2 linked regions of the Drosophila melanogaster genome follow. Changing the gene in region 2 together with the main gene of any one other region gives a genetic interaction. Each region holds a gene or a part of one and is shown on either strand. Other genes may lie near its edges.

Region 1 (4,758 bases), on a different chromosome or scaffold from region 2:
AGGGTTGCTCCGCGGAATTGTCACCATTGTGCACGCGACTCACTGCGCAATTGAGGGCACAGCTACAGTCCGACCTCGCTGGATTGAACCTTTTGAAACTTAATAAAAGCTACCAATAATTTCCATTCAGTAGATTCAGTTAACACATTCAGAAGATGGTAATGGATTTTCCCATAGAATAGCTTTATAACCATACTACTAAAATTCCATATTAATATATATTATTTCCTTTATGTAGAGTTTATTAAACTATCCCTAAAGTTTATGAAAGAAATACTTTTCCCAAGTGCTTTCAGTTTCATGTGCGAACTCAATATACAAAAACTGAATGTAAACATGAGTAAAAGCCTGATACATTTGAAAAATGATTCGTCCCGTGACAGATGGTGGTTTCAGCTTTCAAGTTATTGATGTTCGACTGTATGTGCAGCAGGAGCGGTACAATAATTACTTATAGGGGAAGAAGCGCAGAACCAAGGGCTGCGGACAAAGAACGCGCTGGTAATGAAGTCATTGCCCAGCAGTTGCAGTTGGCCAGCACGTGGCGCTCCCAGATGAAAGGACAGAACGACAGGAGGAGGACAGTGGGCCGGGAACCAAGGAAGTAGGTCCAAAGTGTGCGCAAGGAGGCGGGACTGGGCATTGTGCAAGGTTAGGGCGTTGGCTTGCCAGCGCCTCGTATCGCTAATGATGCTAAACCAGCCTGGATCGCTGGATTGCCCGATGACTGACTGACTGATTGATTTGTGTAAACTCTGACCGCTCTCATGTCAATCTCTGCCGGGTTGAATGTGGAGCAAATGTCAGCGCACAGCAGCCAATAGCTGTCGCCACGATTGATGGCGAACTGGAGCGACTGGAGCACAAAAACGGAGCTGTAATGAAGAGTACTTGGATGGTACTGACGAAGACTGCATACCCTTTACCACCAAGATAGAAGCAATATAGAATGCCAAACTGATCAAGCAATATTTATTAATTTTATGGAAACATTTTAGGCATTACATCGTAGGACATATTCCCTTGGGTAGAGCATCCCATAAACAATGAATATTGGTGCTTATCTGGGCGAAGAAAACCCATTGAAGCGGCACAATGAATAAAACTTGGCACAGAGTCTGCCACTGAAGATGCTGTACGTAGTACATCGTCCGCAGCAAATCATCCGTTGTCGTTCGCTGGCTCTTTTATTTTATTTTGTTTTATTTTGTCTTATTTTATTTTGTTGACTACTTCCCTGCCCTGTCCCCGCAGTAATTTGTTAAGCGCTGCCATTGAAGCGAGAAGTGCGACGAATGCGAAGATAATGGAGCATCCCAGTCGAGGAGAAACCAAGACCAGCACATTGTGCTGCCCAAAGAATATCCAAGATTCACTTGTATTATTCGCATGTGTGTTATCACAACACGCAACTTGATTTTCCACGCCGGTTACACAGTGGTAACCGTTTAAATGTAGACTGTGGTGCAGGCAAAAATATATTTGCTGTTTATTTATTCTGCTTAAAGCTTGATAATAGATATAATATTATAGATATAATATATATATCAAGAGAAACCAGCAACATATTCCAAGTAAAATGTGTAACGAGAAAAATAAAGTCCATAGCAAGCAAGTTTCGATTCTTGAGATCTTAAATAGTTTTTACCATGTGCACTGAAGCGTTTTTCTTTCCCATTTCTATATTCTATCTACCGAGTAGGTTTTATATTAGCATACTAGGAAATATAATTAAGATGTAGTTATTTTCAGATCAGAATCAGAGAAACGTTTCAAATCAAAATCAACCATATGAACTTGGACAAATATATATTTTGTCTGCGAAATAAACATTTTTTTAGGTGTTCGTAATTACGAAAGCATTTAAATTGGCAACACCTGGGCTGGGGGGAAATTGGCAACGCGACAGCCGAGCGCTGTGCGGGAAAACTGAGCGCGCGGAAAACTGTGTGTATAAACACATCAAATCGCAGCGCAGCGGCAGCAACAACAAACAGGGAAATCTCTTTGAGATACACTACACGCTGCATGGAAAGGGGGGGGGGGCGGTGCGGTGAACTGGGGGATGATGATGCTACAAACAGTTTGTGTACAAAAATAAGTAGAAAAGTCGCTTTTCCTCCCCGCTCGGTAACGTGCGGGGGTGGTTGGCATGGTATCCGGCGTTTCGCGGAAAAACGCGTGAATCGCCGCAAAAGGCAGCAATAAAAACAAAGGCCGCGCACGTGACGCCCAGCGGGGGGTGGTGGGTAGCTTGGAAAAGTGGGTGGCACACCGCCTACTCTTATTATTTACTCACCAACTCCGTATTTGTTGTTCGAAGGTATCCACATTTTGTCGCTGCTGCTTCGCTGCAAGTTAAGCCGAAAAAATCCAACTTAGCCGGCCACTCCTTGCATTTATAATTAATCAACGGTTTTTTGAGGAAACACCCTTTTCATCGGCAAATATCTGCATTTGAATTCGCATTTATAACGGCCAATATTTATCAACAATTTTTCGCAATAGCACACATACACACTCGTACACATCTACGCACTCAATAAAACTTTCGCTTTTGTTGTTGTCTATCTCCTTCTCTTTCTCGCACTTTATCTTGTTTAATAACTACAACTACAAGCAGAAAATACACTTGCTACATTGTTGTTGTCGCTGGAAGGCAACGATCGCGGTTCCAATTGGCAATGATTACCGCTAGGTGGAAGAAAAGGAAGTGGCTGATTGGGAAGTCTGGAAGTGGTGGCTTTGCTTTTGTTGCCTTTTTCACGGACCCGCGCACACACAAACAAGAAAATCAATACGAATTTGGGACTCCCAGCCGAACTTCCAATTGGATTTCTACACTGTGCGCAATTTAAATTGCTTGTCCCTTGGCTTCGCGAATTATTACCGTTGTTTTCTGCTGCACTTGCAACGCGTTTAATTTTCGCTATTTTTTGCGTTTTATTATTTTTCGCGTTCTCCGCTGCGCAGCTTCCCGGGCGCAGCAACAACAAATATCCGTCCGCCGCTCAGCTGTTTGAAGAACAACAACAAAATTCGGGATTCGTCGGCTTATATACGTTGCAGTGTGGCCAGTTGCTAAGCGATGGATTATTTACTATTGCATTTTTGAGGGAATTTTCATTTTAGCGGTGACGGTCACACCGGTATTTATGGTCTAGCTAAGACCCGAACCAATTCGCAGTTACAGTTTTGGAGGCACATTCATTCAATGTATTCAATAATTTAACAAACAAAACAATACCAAATCCGTTTTAATATGCAGTCCATAGCGTTGGTCTGACTCGGCCCCATTAACTCTATCCCATTTTTTTTTAAATTTTTTCTTTTAAATTAACGGTGTACGTATTACTTAACCGAGATATATAATGAATAAAATATAAGCACTAAATCTTTAAGGTTAGAAAATAAATTGCAGTATAAATATATTACGAACGAAGTAAATATTCAAGCGATATATATGATCCCAAGATATCGCTACATTCTCCCATCCCTAGCAGCTATTTCTTGTTGGTTTTTCGAATTCTCGATATAACAGTCACACTGCTCGCCGCGGTTGGTCGCAATTTTTGTTGATAAGCGGACTCGGAATTTCGGCCGCGCTGCGTATTTGTTTTGTCGCGAAACAAGCCAAGAATCCAAATAGTGGCAATATCTGTGGGCAAACAAGTGATAAAGCGGGAAATGTGTCATCTGGTGGGCGAGGAAGCTGCCGAGAAATTGTGTTTTTAGTCAAGGTACGCCAATCGGAGAATCTCTGGGTTCGTGTGTGTGTGGGAGTATAGTCGCTGACTCTTCCAATTGGAATTGTTCTTTTTGGGCCTGACAATAAAACGCAGAATGTTTACTCAATAAATGCGCACCATATACAGCTGGCGAATACAAATGTGTTTAGCTCAACTTGGAGCATGAGATACTCTTTAGTAGTTTCCTGTTCTCCTGCCGATTCCTTTTACAGGAAAAATCAATAAAGGTCCCAATCAGAACGCGACTGCGCCCTAGTGTGGGTGTGCAAAGTGCGTGCATGTGTGTGTCTATGTGTGTGAGTGCTCCTTTATCAGTTGGAAAACGCAGTGTGTTTCGTTTGTTTCGTTGTTGTTGTTTTCGTTTTAGTTTTCCAACAGCTGCAAGTGATTGTGGCACGCCTAATTGATAACTATTTTCGAGCACTTCCATTCAACTTCACCTCAGCATAATTAATCACCGCATTAAGGAAAATACGTTAATATCGGCACGCTCGATTGTCTTACATGCCCACAAACATGGGAGAAAAGGAAAACACAATTCCACACTGCATGCGCTCGTATTTAGTTTCCCTTTTACTTTTCTACAATTTACATAATCATCATCTCGCGGCGGCAAAGACACAAAACAACCGGGCAGCAAAACAAAAGTGGCGTTCATTAAACCAGCTCATAAATGCACACACAGAAATCATAAGTACATACATATGTACATATGTACAGTAGTTAGTATGTAGTTTCATTATTTAATGTTTTTGCGTACATTTCCCTGTGGTTTGATGGCTCGCGGTGTCATCATCTTTACCGCTTTTCCTTCCCCCGCAAATCTTCCATTCTTTTTTCTTTGATAATTCTGCCGCGAATATTTCGTATGCAAAATGTGTGCCAAGCCAAAAAACCGCACAGTGGGTGGGATGGGGCGATGTGGTGGCAAAATTGGTTATTAGCTTAATGGGAATTCACTTATTGGAGAAATATTTTTTATTTTTGCTATTCCCTTCTAATTGTAATT
Region 2 (5,381 bases):
ATTTTTTTCTTGTGCTTCTCCTTCTTCATTTTTTTGTACAACGCCAAACGCTGCTCCTTGTTGCGCATCCAGCTGAGGGGATTCAAAACAGGAATTCGTGTCTTCTTGTCGTCGTCGTCGTCATCATCCTCTTCTTCGTCGTCGTCGTCATTCTCCTCCTCATCGTCGTCATCATCCTCTTCCTTTAAATCCTCACTGGCTTCCCCTTGTTTGGCCGTTTTTTTGCTGCTGGAGGCGGCTTCTTCATCGCTGCTATCAGTGACTGGCCCCTCCTGGACTTCCAAATCCTGTGGCTCCTCCTCGTCAAAGCTGGAATCGCTGTCCGAGTCCTGTTCCACGGGCGGAGGGGCTGTTTTTCGCTTAATTTTTATCATTATTCCGAGAGAATCACGAATTCACAAAAATGCGAGCGGCACGTGTTGATATTCTTCTTCTTATACCAATCACACGGAAACGCAGACAATCTGCTGTGTGGGGCAGTGTTGGAAAACGTGCCACTCACAACGTGTAGTTTGTAAACAAAAATATATTTAATTAAAATGGTATTTCGGGTCTTAGAACTATTTAGTGGCATTGGCGGCATGCATTATGCCTTTAATTGTGAGTTCGTCGATCATGATACATGCGAAACTAATATATACTTTTGAAGATGCCCAATTGGATGGACAAATAGTTGCCGCCTTGGATGTCAACACCGTGGCCAATGCGGTTTATGCGCACAATTACGGCAGTAATTTGGTGAAAACTAGGAATATTCAAAGCCTGAGTGTAAAGGAAGTCACAAAGCTTCAGGCCAACATGCTGCTGATGTCCCCGCCATGTCAGCCCCACACTCGCCAGGGATTGCAAAGGGACACGGAAGACAAGCGATCGGATGCACTTACTCATCTGTGTGGACTGATCCCAGAGTGCCAGGAACTGGAGTACATACTCATGGAAAACGTCAAGGGTTTCGAGAGCTCACAGGCGCGAAATCAGTTTATTGAATCGCTGGAGCGGTCGGGATTCCATTGGCGGGAGTTTATTCTAACGCCAACGCAATTCAATGTGCCAAATACTCGATATCGCTACTATTGCATCGCCCGCAAGGGTGCAGACTTTCCATTTGCCGGTGGAAAGATCTGGGAAGAAATGCCGGGTGCTATAGCCCAGAATCAGGGTCTTTCACAAATTGCCGAGATTGTGGAGGAAAATGTATCACCCGATTTCCTGGTGCCCGACGATGTCTTGACCAAAAGAGTGCTGGTCATGGACATAATACATCCTGCTCAAAGTAGATCCATGTGCTTTACAAAGGGCTACACCCATTACACCGAGGGCACGGGCTCTGCATACACACCGCTTTCGGAGGACGAATCCCACCGCATCTTCGAGTTGGTCAAGGAAATTGACACAAGTAATCAGGATGCATCGAAGTCGGAGAAGATTTTGCAGCAACGCTTGGACCTGTTGCACCAGGTGAGACTGCGCTATTTCACGCCACGGGAAGTTGCTCGTCTAATGAGTTTTCCGGAGAATTTTGAATTTCCGCCAGAAACAACGAATCGACAAAAGTATCGACTGCTGGGAAATAGTATTAATGTAAAGGTTGTCGGTGAACTTATTAAATTGCTGACGATAAAATAAAACAAAATACAACATATTTGCTTGCTTATTTTCACTTTAATACATTTATTAGCTAGGAAATTACTCTGCGCTGTTATCATTAAAATATTTATTTCAAATCCACATAATTTTCCCGCCCAGTGTTGCCTATGCCACAAAACGCAACGGTTGTGTGCTGTGTGATATTCCATACTACTTGTCAATTGGTCACACTGCACTGAATTAAAAAAAAAAAGAATATAAGTTTACGCAGAAAAACAATAATAATTGCAATTATCGCTAATTGAAAGAGTGCCAAAATGATACCAAAAAAGACGACGGTTAAGGATTCACACATTGTGAAAATAGCCGTGGAGCGAGAGGACCATATAGCGCAGTTGATAAATCTGGATCAAAGGCATCCGCTGGCAAGTGAGTAAATAGCGGATAAAAACAAAGATTTTTCGCTTGCTGAGCAGCAGTTTTAAAGAGAATCTGCTTTAAACATGTAAAACAAAGTTCCAAGAAGTTAATAAACCAGAATTATGTTGAAAGTAGCAAAGGAACCCATCATAAGGGAGGAACTTCCAACCAACGCCCTTCGCTATGTTTAAGTGTTATCGTGATGTCAGCGCACTCATTTCCTCTTTCTCATTTATATGCAAATCATACAATTGGTCAGGAAGTTGCTATTTACAGCGTATTAATGCCGCCTTCGCTTGCAGGTAAAATCCAGGAAATTTGCAATGGTTGGTCCATCAGCGATCACCAGAACTATGCACTCCAGTTCTACGAGCCCACTAACCGAAAGTACGTGACCGAAAAGAATCGCAATGAGATCAAGAATGGCTCCGTACTGCAGCTGCAGTATTCGCCATCCAAGACTGCCTGCGATGCCATGGAGGTGCTGCTCAATGGCAGTCCACAGGAGAAGGCGCTGCGTCTAAAGGAGCTCACTTCCCTAAGCACCGATCACACATTTGCCCTGGAGTTCATCAAGGAGAAGGGTCTCGACACACTCATTAAGATGATTGAGGATGGCGGCCAGACCAACGAAGACATTCTGAAATACAGCCTGGCCAGCTTTGTGGAGCTGATGGAGCACGGCACGGTGTCCTGGGAGGTGCCGGAAAACTCATTCGTGGCCCGCAACATTGAGATCGTGCGAAACTTTCAGAAATATCCTACGAACTGTGGTGAGAGCGCCCTGTCCAACTTGGAGAACATTGTTATGTGCAGCAATAAACATGTGCTTGTTGCCGAGGACATCAAGCTGCAGGATATTCTCCGATTGCTTCAGGATGTCAATTCGCCGGTGATGCGACAAAATGCCATAGCCCTGCTGAACGCTCTGTTCGTCAAAGCAGACGAGGGCCGCCGCAGGACCATTGCTCAAACTATTAGTGCCAAGCAGTTCCGCCTGGCCCTTATCGGCAATGGACTGGGCACAGAGATGACCCACCAGCTGTACGTGCTGCAAACGTTGACTCTCGGCCTGTTGGAGAAGCGCATGCGTATGAAGATGAACGCGCAGGACCAGGACGCGCACGAGAAGATCAAGGAGCTGCGGCGCATTGCCTTCGACGATAATACCAACGCTTTGAATCAAAACGACGATCACATCCGTCGTGGCGGTGGCTCCGGAGCTGGCAATGTCAACTTCTCGCAGTACTACAAAAAGCTGGGCTTCAAGTGCGATATTAACCCTGCCCAGGATTTCATTGAGACGCCGCCGGGTAAGAATATGTTCTTATATTAAAGCTATTTTGGTTGATAATCCGAAACGTATTTCTCAGGTATATTAGCGTTGGATTGCATGGTGTATTTTGCACGCAACTACACGCAACAGTATGCGAAGATCGTCAGGGAGAACTCCTGCCGTGCGGATGAGCACGAGTGTCCCTTCGGACGCACCTCCATCGAATTGGTCAAGGTGCTATGTGACATCCTTCGCATCGGCGAGCCACCAGCCGAGCAATCCGGTGACTTTCAGCCCATGTTCTTTACGCACGATTCGCCGTTCGAGGAATTCTTTTGCATATGCGTCATTACGCTGAATCGCACATGGAAGGATATGCGTGCCACTGCCGAGGACTTCAGCACAACCTTCAGCGTGGTGCGGGAGCAGATCCAGCGCACTCTAAAGGGCAGACCCGAGAACCTGGACGATTTCCGAAACAAGATCGCTTTGTTGACCTATCAGCAGATCACAACACTGCGCCAGCAGGAGCGCACTTCGAAGGAGGAGTGTGATTCCACAGCTTCGGCGATTGTTAAGCTCAAAGAGAAGATATCACCGCAAATTCTTGAGCTAATCAAGCAGCAACGGCTCTCTTTTCTGGTGGAAGGTACAATTTCTAATAAATACATTTCAAGGGCAATCTTAACATGGATAAATCTTGCACTTATAGGTACACATTTTGCAAAATACTTGCGAGGCACTCGAACAAAGGACAAGTTCTGGTACGCTCGTCTTTCGCCGAATCACAAGGTGATTCATTACGGAGATTGCGACGAGAAGACAATACCCACCATGGAGGAGTTGCCCAAGAAACTGCCCATCAGTGAGATTAAGCAATTGCTAGAGGGCAAGGAATGCCCGCATATGAAGGAAACTCGCATTCGGAAATCGGCGGTAAACCTGGCCTTTTCCATCACCTTCGAAAACATGGAGCACTCTACGTTGGACTTTGTGGCACCCGACGAAAGCATATTCAACTACTGGACGGATGGAATAAACGCGCTGCTGGGTCAACCGATGGTCAGCAAGCAAAAGAACGAGGACTTCGACACTCTGCTGTCGATGGAGATCAAATTGCGCCTGCTGGACACGGAAGGTGTGGACATCAGCAAGGACCCACCGCCAATACCGGAGGATCCCGAAAACTATGATTTTTGCTTTGAGAGCTAAGCATAACGAGCACAATTACTTCACGAATTATTCGATTCATTCTAGACTCCCCCATCACCCAAGATACATGCCAAAGTGTACACACAACATAATCGTATTCTCCGATCTGATCTTCTACTAGTATTACTTGTGCAATTCCCCGAACACAAAATGAACAAACTGGTGACGGTCACGTCCAAGTGACTAACCGCTGCCTAGCCATTTAGTGAACTTTACACCATTTATGATTATAATAGGTATATAATATATAGAGATCATTAAATAACACATTTTATACATAACAATTTTGTACAAAAACTAACAAGAGAAGCGTATTCTTATCCAAGCCTAAAAGGTAATTAGTTAGTTAAAAAAAGCAAAAAGCACGGCTGGCCGATGCTTTGAACACCATTGCGGAAGGAATTGATTTGGAGCCGTTAACAATAATGGAATCTTAGCAATGTAATTTATTGATGCTCTGAATTGCACTTGGAATTTGCTATCGATTTGTCCTTCCGCAAGGATATGTTGATTGCAATTGTAAATGATAAAACACGCACTTGACGACCTTTGGTTCGAACTTTAAAGCATTCGAGTAAGCAGTAAGCCTGCGGAGCAAAACCAAACTGGCAGCCTACCCGAGTGGGTCTCTGGCTGCCTCCTCGCAACATTATCCACGCACGGGCAGCTTGCGCCGGCGAGCAGGGGCTCGATCCTAGATCCTTAATCAAATGTTATCCTCCAGCAGGAGATCGTTGTCATCGCCCCGGTCCGGCAGGCAGACAAAGAATTCGAGTAAATTCAGGATGGGACCACGCGAGAAGGGATTCTGATATCGTCCGCGTTTGTCCCGCAAGTAAGGATAACGCTTGTAGTTAAACATCTCGTTTGTGGTGAGATTCATGCA

Evidence for each region. Genes that interact genetically often act in the same process or in processes that back each other up.
Region 1: of Ced-12 (region 2) and spg, changing one enhances a phenotype caused by changing the other (phenotypic enhancement), as found in Drosophila melanogaster (one study listed by BioGRID).

What each region holds. Positions count from the first base shown.
Region 1 is NT_033777.3:28,843,542-28,848,299, reverse strand, and holds the start of spg (sponge), read right to left. Parts: upstream 3,001-4,758; 5' UTR 2,334-3,000; coding exon 2,300-2,333; intron 1-2,299.
Region 2 is NT_033779.5:12,096,047-12,101,427, forward strand, and holds Ced-12 (Ced-12), read left to right. Parts: upstream 1-1,791; 5' UTR 1,792-1,904; coding exon 1,905-2,016; intron 2,017-2,309; coding exon 2,310-3,320; intron 3,321-3,380; coding exon 3,381-3,932; intron 3,933-3,995; coding exon 3,996-4,495; 3' UTR 4,496-4,793; downstream 4,794-5,381. Other genes in the region: CG6712 (uncharacterized protein), read right to left, coding at 1-374; Mt2 (methyltransferase 2), read left to right, coding at 540-600, 650-1,626; patsas, read right to left, coding at 5,202-5,381.